2 linked regions of the Notamacropus eugenii genome follow. The protein of the gene in region 1 purifies or fractionates together with the protein of each later gene. This does not show direct contact. Links are inferred from orthologs where the notes say so. Each region holds a gene or a part of one and is shown on either strand. Other genes may lie near its edges.

Region 1 (9,599 bases):
ACTAAGGGACTACCTACTCCCTTATCCCAACCCCCTCAGGTGGCAAGAGAAGGACTAAGCATTAAAAAAAACGAAAGAAGTGGCCCCAAAGGCCAAGTGGATGAATGTAGGCTGAGTGGGATGGAGTTTCTGTGGCCTCAGCACTAGAGGCCAACCTCTAGTGGGTGACACTCACTTTCAGTGACAGTGAGGTCCCCGTGGGTGATGGAATGGACAGACACACAGGCCCCACTGAGCTGCTGCTGGAGTAGGGCTGGGCTGAGCTGGGCCCAGGCATCTGGGGATACCCCTTCCTCTTCTGACAGCCCATACACCTCCAGGACATCAGAGGCACTCAGGCATACCTAGGAGCAGAGAGGGGAATGGAATTAGGCAGCAGGGGGGAAAGTAGGTTAACTTCCTCCACTGTTTTCCTCTCTTCTCCCTCTCCCCTTCCTCCTGACTTACTGTGTCCCATACGCTGTCAGAGTCCTCCACTTGGGCCTGTTGAGGAGTCCTCAGCTGGTGGCTTGCCCTCCCTTCCAGGCTGTACTGTGTGTGATAGTGCTGGTGTTCTTCATCACTGTCATGGGGATGGACCTCAGCCTCTGTCCCCACTTGCAGCTGGCTCATCAGAGCCTGCAACTCTGGGTAGGGAAAGCAGGGTGCTGCTGTTAACTTCTTCTCTGCCCCCCACCACCACCTCAACAGCCTCTGCCTTTAGGAAGCCTTCCAGGACTGGCCCACTTCTCCAGGAGGATCTGGACTGAGCACAGTGCTCTTGTCACATGGTGGTCATGTCCAAGGATTGGGAGGGAGGGAGAGAAAGGTGGAGAGATACGTGTGTAACAGGAACTGAAATGGACATTGACTGGGATATGTTGGATTCTTTAGCCCTTCATGGATCTATTCCTAAACCTGTTATTCCACTTTTTCCCCTTTAGGGCATTTCTCCCATGAGTCTTCCCTTTTCCTGAGTCCAAACCCTTCTCTACTCAGAGGTCAAGTGAAGCCTTCCCTAAAGGGAGCCCATCTGAAGACTGCCCTACTCTGAGATCCATCTTTCCCTTTCATCTCTAGTCTCAACCCCCTACTCCTTACCAGAGAGAGTGAGGTTCCGTGACTCATTGCTATGAAGTCGGAAGACGAAATCAATGAAGTACTGGGGACTGGGCAGGACATGGAAGCAGGACCCAGCTATGGCATGGTCCAGGAGGGCAGCCAGAGCCTGGCTTGGACCTTGGCTCTCAGTTCCCTGGGCTCCTGCTGCTTCCTCCAAAATCTGGTGTATGTCCACACAACTCTGAGAATCAGAGATCAACACTCAGGCCCCTCCTCACCCCAGCTCACTTACCTCTTCTCCTCACCACCCTCCTGGGGTGGTGGTGGCACCCCATTACTTATGTGGGGGGTTGAGGGTGGGAATGAGGGAAGGCAGATGGCCCCCACATACACATTTCCAGCCCTGACTTCTCTCATGAGCTCCAGGCCCACACCTCCAGTGGCCTAGAGATCATCTCCATCAAGATATCCAACTTCACATACATATCCCTAACTCAGCTTGTTTCTTACCTCTCCCCCTGTAACTCTTCCTCTGGCATCATGGACCTAATCACCCAGGGTTTAAACTCAACCCCCTTCTCTCTGAGCTTCCATATGCATTCAGTCCTCAAGTCCATCCTCTTGATTCACACTGCTACTTCCTTAGTTCAAGCCTTAGACCTTGGGCCTAGACTTCCAACCAGCCTCCAGGCCCTTCCCTCTCCAAATCCACCTTTGCAGAACTTGAAGACCACTCTTCCCACTGCACACAGCATCAGGATTTAGAGCTGCTAGCACCTTTCAGATCATCTTGTCCCTCCTTTAAAACCTTTAACAGCTCCCCACTGCCTACAGGATAGTCCAAGCCCCTGAGCTCAGAGTCCAACCTCCCTTCCCAACCCACCCAGTTTAAAAATGATGGAATTGAGGTCCAGAGAGAAGGAAAGAGACATTCCCAAGAGCACAGAGCTCTTCCCTTCCATATGCCTTGTGCTTTCCCCCTGTCACAACACTGCCCTCACCTGGCCTGGCTCTCCTTGGTAGTGCCTTTGGATCTGCTGAAGAAGTTGGTTCAGGATGTTGGGGTAATGGACCCCAGCAGAGGCCAAGGAAGCCAGGAAGCTCTCTGCCTGTGAGCCCCAGCTGCCAGCCTGGATAGCAGCACAAGTGCTCTCTGGATCCCGGAGGTAGAGAGCGATTCCTGCACAGAACTGGGTCACATTCTGGGAACTCAGAATCCCACCCTGCCCAGCCAGGGCCAGGGCATTCTCCACTGTCATGCACTGCAGGCACAAAAAGTCAGTCCTAGAAGTTAGGGGAGTAATCAGGGGAGTTTGGGAAATAAGCATTTCAATAGCCATTTTTACAAATACTTTCTCAGTTGGTCTTCACAACAACCCTGTAAGGTAGGTGTTATTATTATCCCCATTATACAGTTGAGGAAACTGAGACAGAAAGAGATTGAGTAGCCTACCCAGGGTCAGGCAGTTAACAAGTATCTGAGGTGGTATTTGGACTCCTGACTCCAGGCCCAGCTCTCTGTCCACTGCCCCACCTCAGAGGAAGAAATCTCCAGTGCTCCCCTGGGTTAGCCCTATCCTTTCCTTTCCTGGGAATCCTTGTCTTACCCATCCCCCACATCCTGCCCCCACCATTCCAGTGGCTCTAAGCTACACCCAGTTATTCCAAGCCTTAACACCAACCCCAGGGCCTCCAGGATGAGGCCACAGCATGGGACACATGCACTTCCAGGCATTGAGTCAGGAAGTGAGATTGTGTGCCCCTGTGCTCACAAACTCTAGTGTATGTTCGTCCTTTGTTGCCAAAGAAGACCACGCCATCAGAGAAATGATGACATGACTTGCACTTGACTTGGTTTTGAGCGACGGAGGGCTGTGCAGTTCACCAGCCTCACTTCTCCTCCAGAGCCATCTGAATCCAGTGACCAGATATTCATCAGGATGACTGGAGATGACCCAGGATGAAGCAATTGGGGTTAAGTGATTTGCCCAAGGTCCCACAGCTAGTGAGTGTCAAGTGTCTGAGGTGAGATTTGAACTCAGGTCCTCCTGACTCCTGCCCTGGTGCTCTATCCACTGCACCACCTAGGTGACCCCTGCTCACAAACTAAAAAAACAACAGAAAGGAAGGAAAGCCCCCTGGCCCTACAGGTGGGAAGTCCCATTGTAGACTCCGGGAGTGCTGTTCCCTCTGCCTCTATCTTTCCCTGTCCCACAGACATAAAGTACTCTCTCACACAAAGTACTCAGAGCTCTGTTGACCACCCCTGTACAGAGGAGCCATGTCTTCCTCTTACACATATGAAGCTTCCTGTTGGGGCAGCTAGGTGGAGCAGTGGATAGAGCACCAGGGCAGGAGTCAGGAGGACCTGAGTTCAAATCTCACCTCAGACACTTGACACTCACTAGCTGTGGGACCTTGGGCAAGTCACTTAACCCCAATTGCTTCATCCTGGGTCATCTCCAGTCATCCTGATGAATATCTGGTCACTGGATTCAGATGGCTCTGGAGGAGAAGTGAGGCCGGTGAACTGCACAACCCTCCTTCACTCAAAACAAAGTCATGTGCAAGTCATGTCATCATTTCTCTGAAGCCATGGTCTTCTTTGGCAATTAAGGATGAACGCACATGAAGCTTCCAGAACAAGATGGAAGGGTGCTCTCCCACTCCCTTTCACACACACACACACACACACACACACACACACACACACACACACACACGAGTGCCAGCTCTCCCATTTACTCATGAACACAGATGGGAGACTTATTGCAGCCTCTCACTCAGAGGAGAGGGAGAGAGGACAACATAACAGTCACTGGCCCCTAGGCACCATCCACTTCTGGCCGAAGGATGACTTTAAGCCTCTCAGCTAAGAATCCTAGGGAGAGGATTGGGCCCTGGGGGGAAGTCTGGAGTCTCAAGGGAAAAAGGAAAAAGAGGGGGAAGGAAAAAAGGGGGAAGAAAGGAAAGAAGAGACACTAGTGTGTCCCAGGCCCCAGACTTTCCTGCCTTAGTAGAGCACAAGCTACTCTCTTTTCCCATAAAGGTCAGCCCAAGTGTGCCCACCCCTCTCTATGACCAGCTCTTCCCACCCCCGTTTCCTAAGGTAGCATTGGATGGCAAAAGCCTGGCTCCTTTCTGCCCTGTCCCCCATTTCAGCTTCCCATCCCAGGCTAAGCCCCCTCTCAGTCCCTGGGTCCTCCTCTCTCCTGGAGCACTGGTAAAAAGTGATAGGTTGAGGTGGACCCTCTAGGGCCCCTTTTCTTCCTTGGCTGTCCCTTGCCTGCCAAGACACCTAAGTCTTGTCATCTCCTATCTTCTCCCCTCCCTCCCTCTTGGAATTTGTCCCCTTTGCTCCCCGCACTAGTTAGGGGTGGGGTAAGCAGAGGGAGGTTAAAGCTATTTGCTGTCTCTTACCTTTCCACACGGCTCATCTAGGCATTGCACACGGGCCGCCAGTGTATTTAACAGGGAGCCCAGGGCAGCCTGGTCCAAAGAACTTTGGTTGGAGGTGAGCACGTTTAGTAGACTGGCAGGTCTTGGGGTAGTCCCCAGGGCTATCCCCAGCCATACCCCCAGCCAGAGACAGACCACACTCCGCATAGCTCAGGTTTCCAGAAGATTCTTGACAAGGGTCAGGTTAGGTTTGGGGAGGGGTGGATGGTGCTAAAGGATTTCCTGGAGGTGGAGGCAGAGGTGGGGATTTGGAGGGCTGGGCTATGGATCTCTGCGGGCCTGGCTGAACGGGTGAGTGGGGACCCCCTCGTGCAGATCTTGGTCTCAGGAAGAGGAGAAATAAGAGGACTGTACTGCAACTAGCCACAAGAAGTCCTGGGCTAGGGCAGGGCTGAGCTGTAGGATTCTTGGGGAATCTCCCAAGTAGGTATTTCCTGCCAGGCACTGTGATTGGCTGCCACCCAGATGGCCCCAGGTTAACCATTCCAGTAGTTGATCCTCCCTAGATAGAACAGTCGGAACTATCCAGTCACCATGGCCTCATTCCCTCTCCCAAAACTCAGCTTCACTTTTTTGAGGGGGCCTAAACTTTTAAGTCTTTTTGTCCCTACCCTTTCCACTATGTTTCATGGACCTACAGCATTATTTCCCAGGCCCAAGACCCTATGCAATATCTCTCTCCCCCCTCTCCTTTTCTTTCCTTTCTCCCTCCCTTCCTCCTTTTCCTTTCTTCTTTCCTTCCTTCCCCTCTGGATCCATATCTTGTTATGCAGCCCTTTGTCCTGTGAGATCTGTTCCTCTCACCTGTATCTACAGAAAGCCATGAAAGCCTGGGGACGGTTCAAGGTCTCCTTCCTGGACTACCCAGGAGCTCATCCAACTCTGATCAGACCATGATACTGATGCAGGTAGGCAGACATTATACAAAGATACACACAAATTTACATAAACATATGGATAGGCAAACTCAGATTTACACAAAATACAAAGAGAAACAGAAATAGTCTTGTTTTTAAAAGTTTGGTTCCTTAGACCAGTCAGGCTTGGCCCAGACAGGGTGAGAGAGCAACAAACTTTCCTGAATTTCCTCCTGTCCTCTGGGCCATATGCTTTGGGGAAGGCAGGGGAAAATTGGAATTCTCCTTTACCCTTCCCTTCTTCCAGAGTCACATCTGAGAAATTCTCTTGGCAGCAGATCTACGTTTGGGTGAGGAAATAGAAAGAGAAAAGGGTTGGGCTAGGAGAGTGACTAGAGGAGAGAAGGTTTTTGCTGTCATGGAGCCAAAGCACACAATTCGTGGGGGTTTCCCAGCACTGGGCAGGGAGCTGCAGACACTTCCCCTCCATCCTGTCCTCCCCTCACTTTCCCCTTCTCCAAACTCTTTCTCGGCTGAGTAGAAGCAGTATGGGAGTGGCAACTAGAATTCCTGAATTTTGCCATTTCATTCCACTCTTTCACAATTCTAAATACCAGAGTTTGGGGGTAGGGTGTGGTAGGTCGGTGAACTTGTTGTTAGGAACTGTTACTAGGGGACCTCCGAGACCTTGTAATATCTGAAAAGAATTCGCTTTATGACACACCTAAGTGGCCATTCAATTTTCTTTTGAAGACCGCCTGCTAGGAGAAAACCCATTTTGTCCTTTCCAAATTTAGATAGCTCTCCTTATTTGGAAGTTTATTCCGCTATTTAGCCCCATTTTTACTGCTTTACCGCTCCCACCCATTGTGCTGGTTTTGTCCTCAGGGGTTATCTTTCCCAGTCTTTCCCAGATATGCATCCTGTCCTATCACATTTGTACTTCTCCAGTATACTTGAGGAGAGGAGATAAGCTAGGACTCTTGGGCAGGTTAATAGTAAAGGGGCTCCTGGGGTCCCTGGCTAGGGATGGGGTAGAAGTTTTGAGTCAGGGCCCTAGACTGGTCAGTTAGGGAGAGATCGCCAGCGTCCTGAGAGATTTGGTAGACTCCACAAAGCCTGGTCAAGGAACCTGAGCCAATCAGTGGGGGAGTTCAGGGATGCTGATTACAGGTTCTGGGGTTCCAAGTGTATTGCTGTCACCCAGGGAAGGTAGAAACTGCTGCTGGTGCTGCTTCTCAGAGCCAGAGCCAGAGATCTGGGGCATGACTAGGGAAGACAAGAAGCTCATTGCTGATGGTTAGTTACTGTCCACCTGCTCCAGTTTCCTGACTGGGAGCCTGTGTCCCACAGATAAGGTCCCAGTACAGCCATACTTTTTATGGGCATGCATGTGGGAAGATTGAGAAATAAAGGATATGAGGGATAAGGTGTCCTGCGGGGGGAGGGGGAGTGCCTTCCAATTCTAACATACATGGACATTGAGCATGGTGGTAGATCTCAGGGAGGAGGGAACAGAAAACAGCCTTTATTTTACCAGAGTAATGACAGTGCCTTCCCTAGAGTGTCTAAGACTTCTCTGTGGTTGCTTGAAGCTAGGCTCACAGAGGACAAAGGTTCAAGGAAACTATGTCCAAAGGAGGGGGAGGTTGGGCTGGAAAGGTAAGGGTCAAAGTTGGCATACTTCTGGCCAAGCCCTCTCATCTTATCAGCCTCTCCCTGGCCTTTGCCCACCAGATTTTATCAGACGCTATTTAGCCAACTCAGCAGGTCTGGGCCCCAGAGCAGCCAGAAGAAGGGGTAAGTCATCAGGTGGGGTCAGTCATTGTTTAGCAGTTTCTGGCTCCAAGAATTCAGATAAGCCAGTCAACTAGACACCCTATACTTCCAGGTGGAGACAGGCATTGTTGGAATGGTGTAGTCCACATTTATCAGCCACTTTTTTACCCCCATTCCCTCTCCAAATACACCCTGAGGAAGTCCTGGGATACTGTCTTGTTCTAAGTCAAGTAGAATAGCCTACCAGAAGCTGCTTCTAGGTACTGTTATGGTGTTAAGGTGGAATAATGATACTGAGGAGTTACGGGCAGATGATTTATTTAGCAATGAATGATACTGCAGAAACAAATCCAGTCTAAGGCTCTTAGTTTGCATAAGAACTAAGACTATTGGTGTCTACAGCCATTACATCTGGGCAACAGGATAAACCTAGGCAAGCTTCCCCACACTATTTGGCATGATGCCTCACTATTCTCGTAGGGAACAGGTAGAGTGACTTGCATATACCCCAAGACCTTTAGAGAGAAGCATCCCCGTGATAATCAAAGTCTCAGGGGAAAGAGAAGCACTTTCATCATACTTCAGCTTCCCCCATCTTGTGTGGGAGAGGACATATCATATCTTTCTGGTCCACAGCTGGGTGAACATTAATTCTAGAAAGGCCATTTGACTCCTAGCCATTCAACACTTCAGTTTTAGTTCCCAAAGTTCCAGTCATTAAGAGCAAATGTCCAAAGAAGCCCAAGGGTGCTAGAAAGTGTTAGAAGTAACTCACTGGCAACTGCCCTTTATGGTAATCCTGAGCCTTTTTCATCTTCCTTTGATGCCTAAAGATACAGAAAATTGCTGGAAAAAACTGCCAATAGTGCATTCAAAAGCTTAACGTCTATTTGGAAACATATCTATGAGAGCAATAACAGAGAAATGCAAACCAAGGCAACTTTAACCTAACCTTACCTGCGCAAGACAGGTAAACAAAATGAAGACCCTTTGATCTAGCAATGCTACTGCTAGGTCTAGATCCCAAAGAGATCATAAAAAAAGGGAAAAGGGCCCACTTGAACAAAAATATTTATAGTAGTTCTTTTTGTGGTGGCAAAGAATTAGAAATTGAGGGGATGACCATCAATTGGGGGATGACAGAACAAGTTGTGGTGTAGGAATCCTATGAAATACTATTGTTCTATAAGAAATGATGAGCTGGCAGATTTCAGAAAAACCTGGAAAGACTTCCATGAGCTGATGCTGAGAGAAGTGAGCAGAACCAGAACATCGTGCACAGTAACTGTAAGACTGTATGATAATCAGCTTCGATAGACTTAGCTCTTCTCTGCAATACTATGATTTAAGACAATTCCAAAAGACTCATGATGGAAAATGCTATCCACATTCAGAGAAAGAACTATGGAGTCTGCATGAGGATCGAAACCTACTATTGATGGGGTTCAGACTCTGGGAACCTCCTCGAACTTCCCTGAAATCTTCCCACTTAATGTGGCCTTTCATACTCAAATCTGTGGCGCTTGGCCTAGCCTGGCCTTCCATTGTCTGTTACCTCTGGATTGCCCCACCTGCGTCCCACCCAAGCCCTCCATTGTTCCATATCTCTTGTTTGCCTCCAGCTGTTTCTAACCCTTGACCAGTCACCCCACTCCCATTGACCTCCTCCTAGGACTTCTCAAAACCCTCCCTAAATTCCTCCTCCCATCACCCTAGCCTACCAGACCACCCCCAGATCCCTCCTACAGTCCTTTTCTGTATTCAAGTTCCATCTCGCCTTCATGAAAGCACTTGAATTCAATCCAGCTCAGACTCTCTCTGAGATTCTATCTGGCCTACTTGCGTTACAAATGCTTAGACTCCTTAAAAGTCAACCCAATAGGGCAAATCTTTAATAAACTTTGTTTTTCTTTGGCTTTAAGAAGGTTTGCATCAAATTCATTCGAGCAGGAACTGGCATGTCAGTATTTCGGGGTCCCCACCACCCTGAACCTCAACGCTATTATCTCTTTTTAAAAAAAATTTTTTTCTCTTGGTTTTTCCCTTTTGTTCTGATTCTTCTTTCACAACATGATTAATGTGGAAATGATGGGGTTTGGAATCTGGGAGCCTCCTGGAATCTTCCCACTTAATCTGGCCTTTTTTACTCAGATCTAATCTTCCCATTTGTTCTGCCAGTCTCTGGAAGTCTATGGGTGTTGGGGTCCCCTAGACCATTACGGGAATCCCTAAACCACGACCCAAGGCTCATGTCCAGCAAAAGGCCTTGATTTGGTGAGTAATGAAATGAGGTATGAGACAAGGTGGTGAGAACTCTGTTTATTCCAGCTAGCTCACATGCATATATAGTCTTAATTATGTGAACATTCCTAAGCCTATACATTGAACCTATCACCTAACATTATTCCTGTTGACCTGAAAACTTGGTTAAAGAAAAGGCAACAGGCTAAATGCATACATTTT
Region 2 (10,555 bases), on another chromosome or scaffold:
CACCTACTGTATCGTTTTTTTCCAAACTCCTAACTGCCGGAGATCTGGTGTCCTAAGGATGCTCGGGCATTACATACTTAAGAATTAGAGTACTGCCCTCTGGCAGTATGAAAGCTTCTTCTGGTAGAATTTATGACCTGAGAATTTATTACCCTGTATCTTTCCCACACAACTGCCAAGACCAGAGCATCACTTCTACTCTCTAATGCTGTTTTCATGACTCATAAATAGATGTAGTTACTTGCTTTCCCCAAATATTATTTGTAGGGCACGTTGGCACTTCATAAACAAATCTGAAGACAGACTAAGAGGGCTAATTCCATTGAAGTGGCATCTGAGAAAATGAAATTCATAATGCCAAAAATCAAGGCACATTTCAAGGGTCCACAGTCCACTCCTGGAGACTCTTGCTGGGAATGGGACAGATAATGAATTGGAAAGCAGGCTTCCTGAAGATTAAAATCAGCCATCCTTTCCCCTCAGTCAGGAAGGTGTCTCTACAGGTCCTTTGCAAACAACCCACCATATTTCCCAGGAATCATCTTAGGAGTAGACAGATCAAAGTTACTGATGTTGCAACTGATGGAAGAGCTTTTCTAACAGGACAGGTGCTGGATCTTTAGGGGCTCAATTCTGTGCATTTCAGATTCTCCTACATGGCTACAATTGAGTCTGACATGAACATCACAGACTACTATTTGATTTTGGTACATTACTGAAAATACTCCCTGAAAATGATCCTATTATGAGCTTTTTCTGGGGAAGTTTACCTCTCTAGAGAGGGCTGCATCCTCAGGAGAAATAATAAAGAGCTAGGAAACAAACTCACCGCATCTGTTTTCCTCTCACAGTCCACCGGCAACAATTTCACTAAGATCAAAAAGGAAACAGACAAGAAGTTAAAAGGGTGGCCAGTTGGGAAAAGAATTTAAGCCCTGAGACTCATGGTGAGCAGAATCTGATTGGCACTAGGAGATACAAACATGCTTCCTAGGTCAGATGTGGTTTTAAATGCCCAGTCAAATATATCCTTACATATTTGCTAGTAGGGAAAACCCATTGCTTCATTTGTAAGGCTGGCTACTTTGTATCCTTTATTTACAAATGTTTCTGTATCAAAGTTAATAGGACTTTGGGTCTGAAATCTTCCTCATGCTCAAAAGGCCTTAGTGTTTCTTGGCAATGATGCACAGCTGCCTACAACACAAGCCTCTCAGAGCTAGAAGGGACCATTTGATTCCAACTCCCTCATTATACAGGTGGGGAAACTGAGCCTTAGAGATATCAGGCTTCATACCACCAGCTTGACAGAGTACAGGGGAACCAAAGTTACAAAGAATCAGTTGAATTTGGGTCAGCTTCAGTTCTCCTGACAGGTCATTCCACTGCTAATCCTACCCAACGGGCATATCCCAGTCTACACATGTGTATTTCTTGGTCTGCTTTTAGACCAAACACTTTTTCAACTCATTCTTTTATCTTATATTCTAAATCAATTTGCATGGATACACCCAGGCAAATTTATGGCACCAGTTAAGGGGCAATTTGATTTTTTAAAGTTTATTTGAGGAACTTCTTGAGCTTCTCATAAAATGGTAAAGACAGCCTAAGCTTGTTCTTGGATACAGTCAATATTAATCAGGCAGAATTAGTTATCATGTTCTGCAGAAAATATTGAAAGTTGATAAATTATTTGATGTGTCACTTCACACTTACACTTATAAGGAAATAATATGTACATATGTGCATAATATCTCATTTCCTTTTAAGACTAAGACCTAGAGAAAAATATGGCAAATTTCTCTAGGAAAACACATGCAAATGCTCCATTCATCTTGTGGAGGAAATATTGAAATCTACATGACCTCCCCAGTTTGAGTCTGAGTGAAAATACTAGAACAGGGCATTACAGATGATAAAGGCCAGAATTTTCTTGACAATCAGTAACAGCTCAATAGAGGAAAAATAAATTGCTTTTGTGTATATAGAATTACATACAGGCATGAGACAAGCATAATTGGGAATTTTTTCTAAGTCATAGAATTAGGATATTAAAACAGGAGTGGGTGAGGAAAAGGAGGATGAGGAATAACAATAATCATTTACTGTAATCTTAACTATTAACTAACATTGTCATATGCCATTTAATTTAAAAAGTGAATTCCTCACAAAAACTCTGAGATAGTATATTTATCTCCATTTTCCAGATAAGGCAGGTGACTCGCCCACAGTCACATGGCTAGTTAAATGTAGAAGCCAGAACACAAATCCAGATGCTCTTTCTATGATACCATATGCATTCCTTTACACTTGTAACTTTACAAAGTACCTTCACATTTGCCATAGGCTAGCTGTGTGACCTTGGAAAATCACTCCCCATATTGGGGTCTGATTTCTCCTCTGTAAATCTAGAAAGTAGGAGTAGATGACCTCTGTGGCCCCCTCCAGCTCTCACATCTGATGATTCTAATGCCCTCTTAGTGATTTGAGGCATGTATTAACATCTCCACTGGACAGTAAGAAAATGGAAGTCACAGAGCTGAGTTAGTGGTATTGCCCTGAGCATTAGACGCAGATCACCTCACTTGGGAGAAGTGGTAAGGGAAGGACACAGTAGCCCAAGGCTACCACTATGAGCAACACTGTGTTTATGATTACCAGGGGGAAAACAGGTTAAAGACTGGGCAAGCTTGTTCTCTAGGGAGGGCTCTCCACTAGACAGGGAGTGAGAATCCAGGAAAGGGAGAGATTGAGGGTTAAGAGATTGAGGATAATGAAGTGTGTTACTAGGGGAAAGAACCTACCACTATTCTATTTAGCATCCTATTAGCAGGACTAGCTTCCTTAATCCCCTACTCCAGGAGCCCAGACAGTAGAGAACTGAGGACCATAACAAAGGAACACAGGCCCCTAACTCTGGCCCAGCATGTGGTAGAAGCAGGAATTAGGGGTAGAAATGACTAATGAAGACTTCCCCATCTCAAGAGCTGGAAAGACAGCAGCCAAAAAAAAAAAAACCAACCAAACTGAAAAGTTGAGAGCCCCATAGATAAGGAAAGAGGATAAATTATGAATCCTTTTCCACAGTAGCTGGTGACAGGGAGAATTTGGGCCAGTGAGAAAAGATTTGTTTTTTTCTCTCTCCTCCTCCACAGCAGCTAGTAGGGAGAGTAGGATGGTTATGAAAGTTTTATGGGCCTAGAGTTAAGAATTTCCAAGAACTACAATTCCTCTTGTACCCTCTCTGGACCTTTGGTGACTGGAGCCCTGGTTACAAGCATGGGGGTGGGAGGAAGGTTGAGAATTTAAATGAATGAAAATGAGAAAAGCTGTCTTCTTTCTCCTAACAGGTTGTGGAAGAGAATTAGTGGGAGTGTGGAGTTACTGGGCTGGAGATCAAAAGGAACACATTTCCCCTGGCCTCTCTGGTAGTGGGTATAGGAGAGGATGGTAGGCAGGGAGCTGGGACAGATAGATTTAGGAGAGATGAGAAACCCTGGCTCAGGTTCCTAATATGTAAAATGAGAGAGCTGAACAAGAAGACTTCAAAGGTCCCTTCCAGTTCTAAGACTCTAAGAACAGCCTGTAATGGGAAACTGCTGGATTTGGAGTCCGATGACCTGGGGTTCATATGCCAGCTCGGTCACTTATTAACTCTGTGACTTTAAGTCACTTACCTCTTAGGTTTATAGATTTAGGGCAGGAAGGGACCGACCTTAGAAGGTCACCTAGCCCATCCCCCTCATTTGACAGTTAGGAAAGGGAGACTCAGCAGAGCTGTGACTGTCCCAAAGTCACAGATGTAGCAAGTGGCCAAGGCGGCCCCAGGGGGGGTCTCTGACCCCAAATCCTGCACTCCCCACCGCACCAAGGTGCCCTCTCTGGGCTTCAGTTTTCTTCATCTGTCAAAGGAGGGGGCTGCCAGGTGGCAGTCTACGGTCCGTCCGGCGCGAAATCGTGGGAAAGAGAGGGGAAGGGGAGGTTGGATAGGGGGCTCCGGCCCCAGCGGCTGGGGGAGGGGAGGAGGGCGGCAGGTGAAGGAGGGAGGGGGCAGGACGGGGCGGCCACGTACTGTTCTCCTCCGCCTCCTGTGGCCGGGAGGGCCCCCCCATCTTCACCCACAGGATGCCCAGGAAGACGAGCAGAAGCGCCAGGCTGGCCCAGCACAGGAGGCGCGACAGCCAGCGCTCCAGCCGCCGCCCCACCTCCGGCCTGGGCCGGGGCCGGGGCCGGAGGCCCCCGTACGCAGCCGGGCTGCGGGCCGGGGCCGAAGCCGGGGCCCACCAGCGGCGGGAGCCGGCGCTCGGGGCGGGCCGCTCGTCCTCCTCGGAGCTGTCCCGCTCCCGCTCCCGCTCTCGGCCGGGGCGCCAGGAGAAAGTGTTGCGGGCCCCCGAGGCTGCGTGGTGGATGCTCGGACGGCTCCCGGCCCAGGATGCGGAGGAGGAGGGGGCGGAGGTGGCCCCGAGCCCCGGGCGAGCGCCCGGCCCCAAGCCCAGGCCCGGGCGGGCCGCCTCAGGCCGCAGCAGCCCGGCGCCGGGCCTCGCGCGCAGCCGGGCCTCGCCTCGCAGCCGCTGAAGCTTGTTGAGGTAGACGTCCCGGGTGGTGTCGGTGATAGGCCCGGGCTCGAAGCCCAGGGCCTGCAGCTCCCGCCGCAGCTCGAGGTCCGACCGCCCGGCCATAGCCGCGCAGCCGCTGCCGCCGCACCCGCGCGCCCACCCCCGGAACTGCTCCCGCCGCTGCCGGAGCCCGAGCCGGGCCCGGGCGGGGAGGGGCGGGGCGGCCCGCGGCGGCAGCCATGCTGGGGAGGTCAGCCGCCATCTTGGGGCGGTCCGGACAAGGCTGGGGAAGGGACCGCCATGTTGAGAAGGTCTAGTCGAGTCTGATTGGACGTTCGAGGAGTATGTTTAATCCCCTCGGTGCACGCGGACGCCATGTTGTGGAGGTCCGCTTCCCTGTACAAGGTGGAACTGCCATGTTGGGGAGGTCACTGACGTTTCCCTGGCCTGGATTTCGATTTGACGGGTCCCTACCGCACAGTGGGCGGAACCAACCAGTTCTTTGTACGCTTGAGGGAATTAGGCTTAGGGAGGTTAGGTGATGCGTCCAAGGCCACACAGCCAACAAGTGGCAGAGCTTGAGTCAGGTCCAGGACTGTCTGTCTTAGCAGCCAGATCTGTTCAGAATTGTGTCCTTGGGGAGGTGGGGGACAAGTTGCACCCCCTCCTTCTCTTCCCTTTGGGGGACCGTCATCCATCCCACCAACCATCCAGTCAGCGATCATATGAGAAATATATGTATGAACACAAAGATGAATCTGCCACTGAAGCCCTGCTGTGGCATGGAGGTGACCTTGGGAGCAGGCTGTGCCAGCAGGGCATGCGGTAAGGCAGGTCTTGTCCCACTTGGCCTTGGAGGTGATGGAGGCCAGCGATGGACTTCCCCGGGGGCCCAGGCCCTGGCATTTGCCTGAGTGGTCCAGCCCACTCAAGTGTAACCCTTTCCACTGTCCTTTCACTGTGGCCCTCCCGCCCAGCCCAGCCTTCCACTGTCTGCCCCTGGTAGGAGGCTACTTGCCCCTCCTTCATCCCATGCAGATTTTCTCACAGTCTTTCTGTATAAAAGTACCAAGATTCTTAGAATTTGCACAGTTTAATGGAGGTTTTGAAAGGACTATGGGCTGGGGGACTGGGCTGTGTGGGAAAATCCTGGGGTTTTTAAGGGGATATCATTAGTGCCCCATCAAAGGGACATCAGGGGGCATCCTGCACTCACTAGCTTTGGAGGTATTCATCACTGCCAGAGGCAGGGCTGTCTCCTGCGACTCTTGGAACCAAAGACTTAGAGCATCTACTAATGTTTCATTTCACCAATAAAACAAAAACAAAAGAAAAAAAAACTGAGAGGATCCTCTGATTCTGTTAAGTGACTTCTCCAAGGTCAATCAGTAAGTAGCAGAACAAAGATTTAAACTAAAGTTTCCTAATTCTAAATCAAAGACTTGCCCATTATACCATGCTGCATAAGGACTATCTACTAAAAAGGCATTTGGAGTAATACACTTTCCTTGAGTTTTCTGGGTTTGAATCCTGGCTCAGACCTAGCTGTATGACTCCCTCAGGCAAAGTATTTAACCTTTCTGGGCTTTTTTTTTCTCATTGATAAAATTAGAAGGTTGAACTTTATTACCTCTGCATTCTCTTCCAGCTCTGAATCAGTGATCTATGACCTTTCTCTGTAAAATGAGGGGTGAGGATTAGGTGACTTTTTAAGACCCCTTTGGGATCAAAATCCTGTTCTCCAGCTCTCCTTCCATTTTCCTCATCACCCTTTTCATTCCACTCATCTCCTTCTGTTCCCCACCCCCACCCCCTTCCCCTTCAATCCCATTATATTCTCTCCTTCCCCCCTCCTTATCCTATCATTCAGCACCATGGGCAGGGAACCTGGAGTAGATGCTTTATATTCGTGCTACTTTGAGTACCACAGGGGCACTCCAACACTGGTCACAACTGCAGAGAAAATTACAGTCTTAGGCTGGTCAGGCTTCTGTTGTTAGCTTCCAAATCTCTCCTGACTTAGCCGCTCCCATGTGGTGTGATTTCTCTCACCAAGTGTTGTTTTCCTTTTCTCCGCCTGTGTTTGTATGGAATGCCATGAATTTGATATAGTGATTGCCTAACACATATACCACATAATAGTATTCTATTTCTTTCCAAAGCACTGTTTGCATGACAAATGAGTTGGTAACATTTATGCAATTCCTTGAAGCTGTGCAGTTCAGTGTATAAAGAATGAGCTTTTGGGGTATCATACTAGCCCTGTGTATTGTAAGGGCATGAGACTGATGGCTTAAGCAAAGTTAACAAACAGCAGTTGGCAGAATGATGGCATCTGTCTTCAGAGAAGCTTTCAGTATGCCTAAGTAAATAAATAAATAAACAGATGCTGTGCCTGAGCCACTCCCCCAGGGCATACAGTGTTGCTTTCTTGCATTTGAGGATGCTGACTTGTACAAGCAACCCAAGAGACACATGATCCGAAGACCTTTCTGGACTGACTATAAAGATTCCCTCACTGACAAGAGCCCTGCAGTTACTACAGGTGAACCTGAGAACTTTTTGAACTCCCTCTTCACCATATGTGGCTTTGTTACTTTTCTCTCCAGATCAATGCAGCCCTGACCCAGGTGCTCATAGCCCTGCCACGTTGTTTCAGATTTTATTTTATCATATGGCTCAATTCAAGCTAAAACAATTTATTAAACACATGTGCAAAGCACTGTGTTAAAGCTGGGAATACATAAATAGATATATTGGGAATTTCATTTAAGGAGCTTACATTCTGCTGGAGGGCAGGGGAAGGTATATACCCAAATAACTATGATAGTGGGATCATAGGGTCATAGATTTAGAGTTAGATCAGGTGGGCATCCTCTCCCCTCCTTCCCCCATGTGTAAACTCAGATCCAGTGAGATTTAATGACTTTTCTAATGTCCGAGCTAAATGTGGCAGAATATGAATCAGAACCTTTGATTCCAAAACCAATGCACTTTTTATGATCTGGTGAGACAAATACAAAGGACTAGTCCTATCAAAATTCTATAATAAATTTGAGGCAATTTGAGCTATCACCTTCACCTGAGGATATCAGAGAAAGCTTCTTGAAGGAGGTGGTAACTAAGTTGAACCTTGAATCGAGGGACTTCAGTAGATAGAAATGTAGGTGTGTGGAAGTGCATTACTTGAGTAGGGGGGAGGTTGGGATGGGACAGTAGAAGACTGGAGAGTCAGATTGTAAATTTAGAACTAGAAGGGATCTCAGAAGCCATTGTAATTCAACCCCCACATTTTACAAATGAGGAAACTGAGGCCCAGGGAAGTTAAATGGCTTGCATGAAGTTGCACAGGTAGTAAGCATCAGAGGTAGAATTTCAACCCAGATCCTCTGAATTCAGAGCCAGTACTCTTTTCCACACTGCCTCCCAAAGTACATAAAAGGGAGCTAGTAGGAAATAAAAATAGGTTGGAGCTAGATTCAAGGACCAGGATTTTATATTTATTCAGTAGGTAGTGGTGAGTTTACTGAAGGTTTTTCCATAGAAGAGTCACACATTAAGAAATTTGCCTGGACAACTACATGAAATTGAAGAGGTAAAAGTTGAGTCCAGGAGACCAAGTTGGAGGCTCAACCAATTTGGAGGTTCTCAGGGAATGAACGAAGATGGTGGCAATGAGAGTGGGAAGGAGGGACTGAGATAGGAGAATGCAGAAGTAGAATGAAAAGGCCTTGATAATGTTCAAGTATATGATGTGAGAGAGACGGAGGAGTATTGCATAAGTACAAGAGAGAGAGAAATTGGGGAGGGGTAATGATCCCTCTGGGGAACTAACAGAGACAAAGAAAGTGCTTCTTAACCTATATTAGTTATCATCCTGCCGCCTGACCTAGTCTTTTCTTCTTCACAGTTCCCTTAAAGAAGGTGGTTATTTTAGGTTTACTACTTTTTTTGTTTAATCCCTCCTTTCTTCAAAAAGGAAGATCAAAAGTCAATGTTTTACCCTACTTCTGCCCTGCCCCTATACTTAACATTTTTCTCATGAACTTGTGCTCTGACCTTGTACATTCTCTGACTTGGAAATACCTCCCCAGTCCTAAATAACATTGGCATGTCCCCAAGGCTCCCTTTAGCCATTTTACTAAGTCAATCAATGTGTTTCATGCTGCTTTCCTTGATCTAACCATCAGAACACTTCATTCACATCTTTCCAAGTCTCATTACACCTGTTTTGCTGGAGGAACTGAACTCTGGCTTCCAGTGTGCTTGGTAATTCTGAAAGTATCAACGTTTCCCCTCAGTATGGTCTTTCTTGCCATAGCCCATTGTCAGAAGCAGTACAAGGATTTTCAGGGGTTCTTGGAACCTGGTTTCTGATGTCTGCAATATTAGTTTAGTGCATGGGCCTATCTTTGATGTTAATGCATATTTTAAGACAAATGAAGCTCTTGCAAAGTCACAAGTTATCATCCTCTCTGCCCTCCTTTTTCATTCACTTTAGTGTGTGTGTGTGTGTGTGTGTGTGTGTGTGTGTGTCTATGTTTTTCAGGTGAACCACTCAGGCCAGGGCAGGTCTTCCTGATTTATTAAAGGCAGAAATGGGAAAACAAACTTCAGTTTCTTAATCTACTTAGCAACCACATGCACACATTTAACAGAGGTGAAAGGTTTCTTAAAGAAGACTCCAGTGATCCTTGAGGAATGCAATGCTAACTTCTCTTAAGCTGACCTCTATCCAGCACAGCATAACCTTATAATAATATTGCCCATCAATTTTTTAGCAAGTTATACTCTCCCTCTTTTCCTCTGAAAATACTTAGAGATTCATCCGTTCCACAGAGATTTCAAGTGCAATGATTGCCTAGGGAGTCCTTTCCTTGGAATATCTAACCATTCCTTTGGCCTTCTCAACCTGGAACATACCCTCTGCCCTCTTCTCCCATTGATAAGTTTCTCCTCTTTCTAACATTTTGTTGAGGGGCCCCAAACCATCCTTCATTCTTCTGGCCATGTTCCTGACTGGTTTTCAAAACCATGCCCCATACCAGGTAACTCCATCTCCCTCCCTCCCCTTCTCCCTTCTCAGCTCCCTTTTTGTGTGTTGTCTTCCCACTTTAGATTGTGAGCTCCTTGAGGCCAGGACTGGCTTTCTTTTTGCTTGTATTTGAATTCCCAGTGCTTAGCCCAGTGCCTGGTACACAGCGAGTATTTAATAAATGCCTTTTTCCTTCTTTCCTCTATCTTTCTGTTCTGTACTAAAATGTATCTTGAGTAGCTGTAGGGAAGTTGTTGCTGGAGACTCAGGAATGTAAGAGTGCTGAGTGTCCTTTCTGGGGAACAAGACTGAGTCTGGGTGAACATGGGATTTGGAGTGTGAGGGGCTAAATTTAGCTGCAGCTCCATCATTTTTATACTTGTGTGATCTTGGACAAGACCTTTAACCTCTCTGGGCTGCAGTGACTTCACCTTTAAAATGAGAGGATTGAAATAGATGACTTTTGAGGTCCCTTTCAGCTCTTGATCTGTGATCTGATGACCTCTGTAAAATTCCCTAGTCTTTATTTGTGGGGCTTTATGTGTGTTGTACCATGAGGAAACAATGTGATTTTGAAGTTGGAGGAAGCAATGAAAATCTTTTCATTTGACAGCTTTTGATTTATAATGAGGACCTGGGAGGTTTATTACCTTAGCCCTCACTTTAACTCTGTGTTAAATTTCCATTCGTTCATTTACTCATTCATTCAACAAGCATGCATTCAGGTCCTATTCAGGTTCTAGGGGGTCATAAAAATTTAGATAAGAGGGGCTTTCTTTCCTTTTGGAACTTTTGGTTTAGTTGGGGCATAAGACACGAGGCAAGTAACTGTAATATACGATGAGCACTTTTTAGTTGTTTCTCTTGACTAAAGTATGCAATTATTACATATGATGATAGCTTGCTTTTATATGCTGCTTTAAGGTTTACAAAGCTCTTTAGCCTCTCCACAACCCTGGGAGGT

The links. Proteins that work in one complex are often made in the same cells at the same time.
Region 2: the proteins of SLC39A4 (region 1) and LEMD2 purify together in Homo sapiens (affinity purification with mass spectrometry; 3 studies listed by BioGRID and IntAct, counting the BioPlex papers as one, with this or other methods). This does not show direct contact. The link is inferred for Notamacropus eugenii from reciprocal best matches to the Homo sapiens genes SLC39A4 and LEMD2.

The regions. Positions count from the first base shown.
Region 1 is NC_092875.1:86,830,481-86,840,079, forward strand, and holds the start of SLC39A4 (zinc transporter ZIP4), read right to left. Parts: upstream 4,783-9,599; 5' UTR 4,648-4,782; coding exon 4,462-4,647; intron 2,304-4,461; coding exon 2,043-2,303; intron 1,283-2,042; coding exon 1,081-1,282; intron 627-1,080; coding exon 448-626; intron 345-447; coding exon 176-344; intron 1-175. UniProt on the Homo sapiens protein: Selective transporter that mediates the uptake of Zn(2+). Plays an essential role for dietary zinc uptake from small intestine. The Zn(2+) uniporter activity is regulated by zinc availability.
Region 2 is NC_092873.1:89,850,121-89,860,675, forward strand, and holds the start of LEMD2 (LEM domain-containing protein 2), read right to left. Parts: upstream 4,730-10,555; 5' UTR 4,680-4,729; coding exon 4,073-4,679; intron 871-4,072; coding exon 830-870; intron 1-829. UniProt on the Homo sapiens protein: Nuclear lamina-associated inner nuclear membrane protein that is involved in nuclear structure organization, maintenance of nuclear envelope (NE) integrity and NE reformation after mitosis.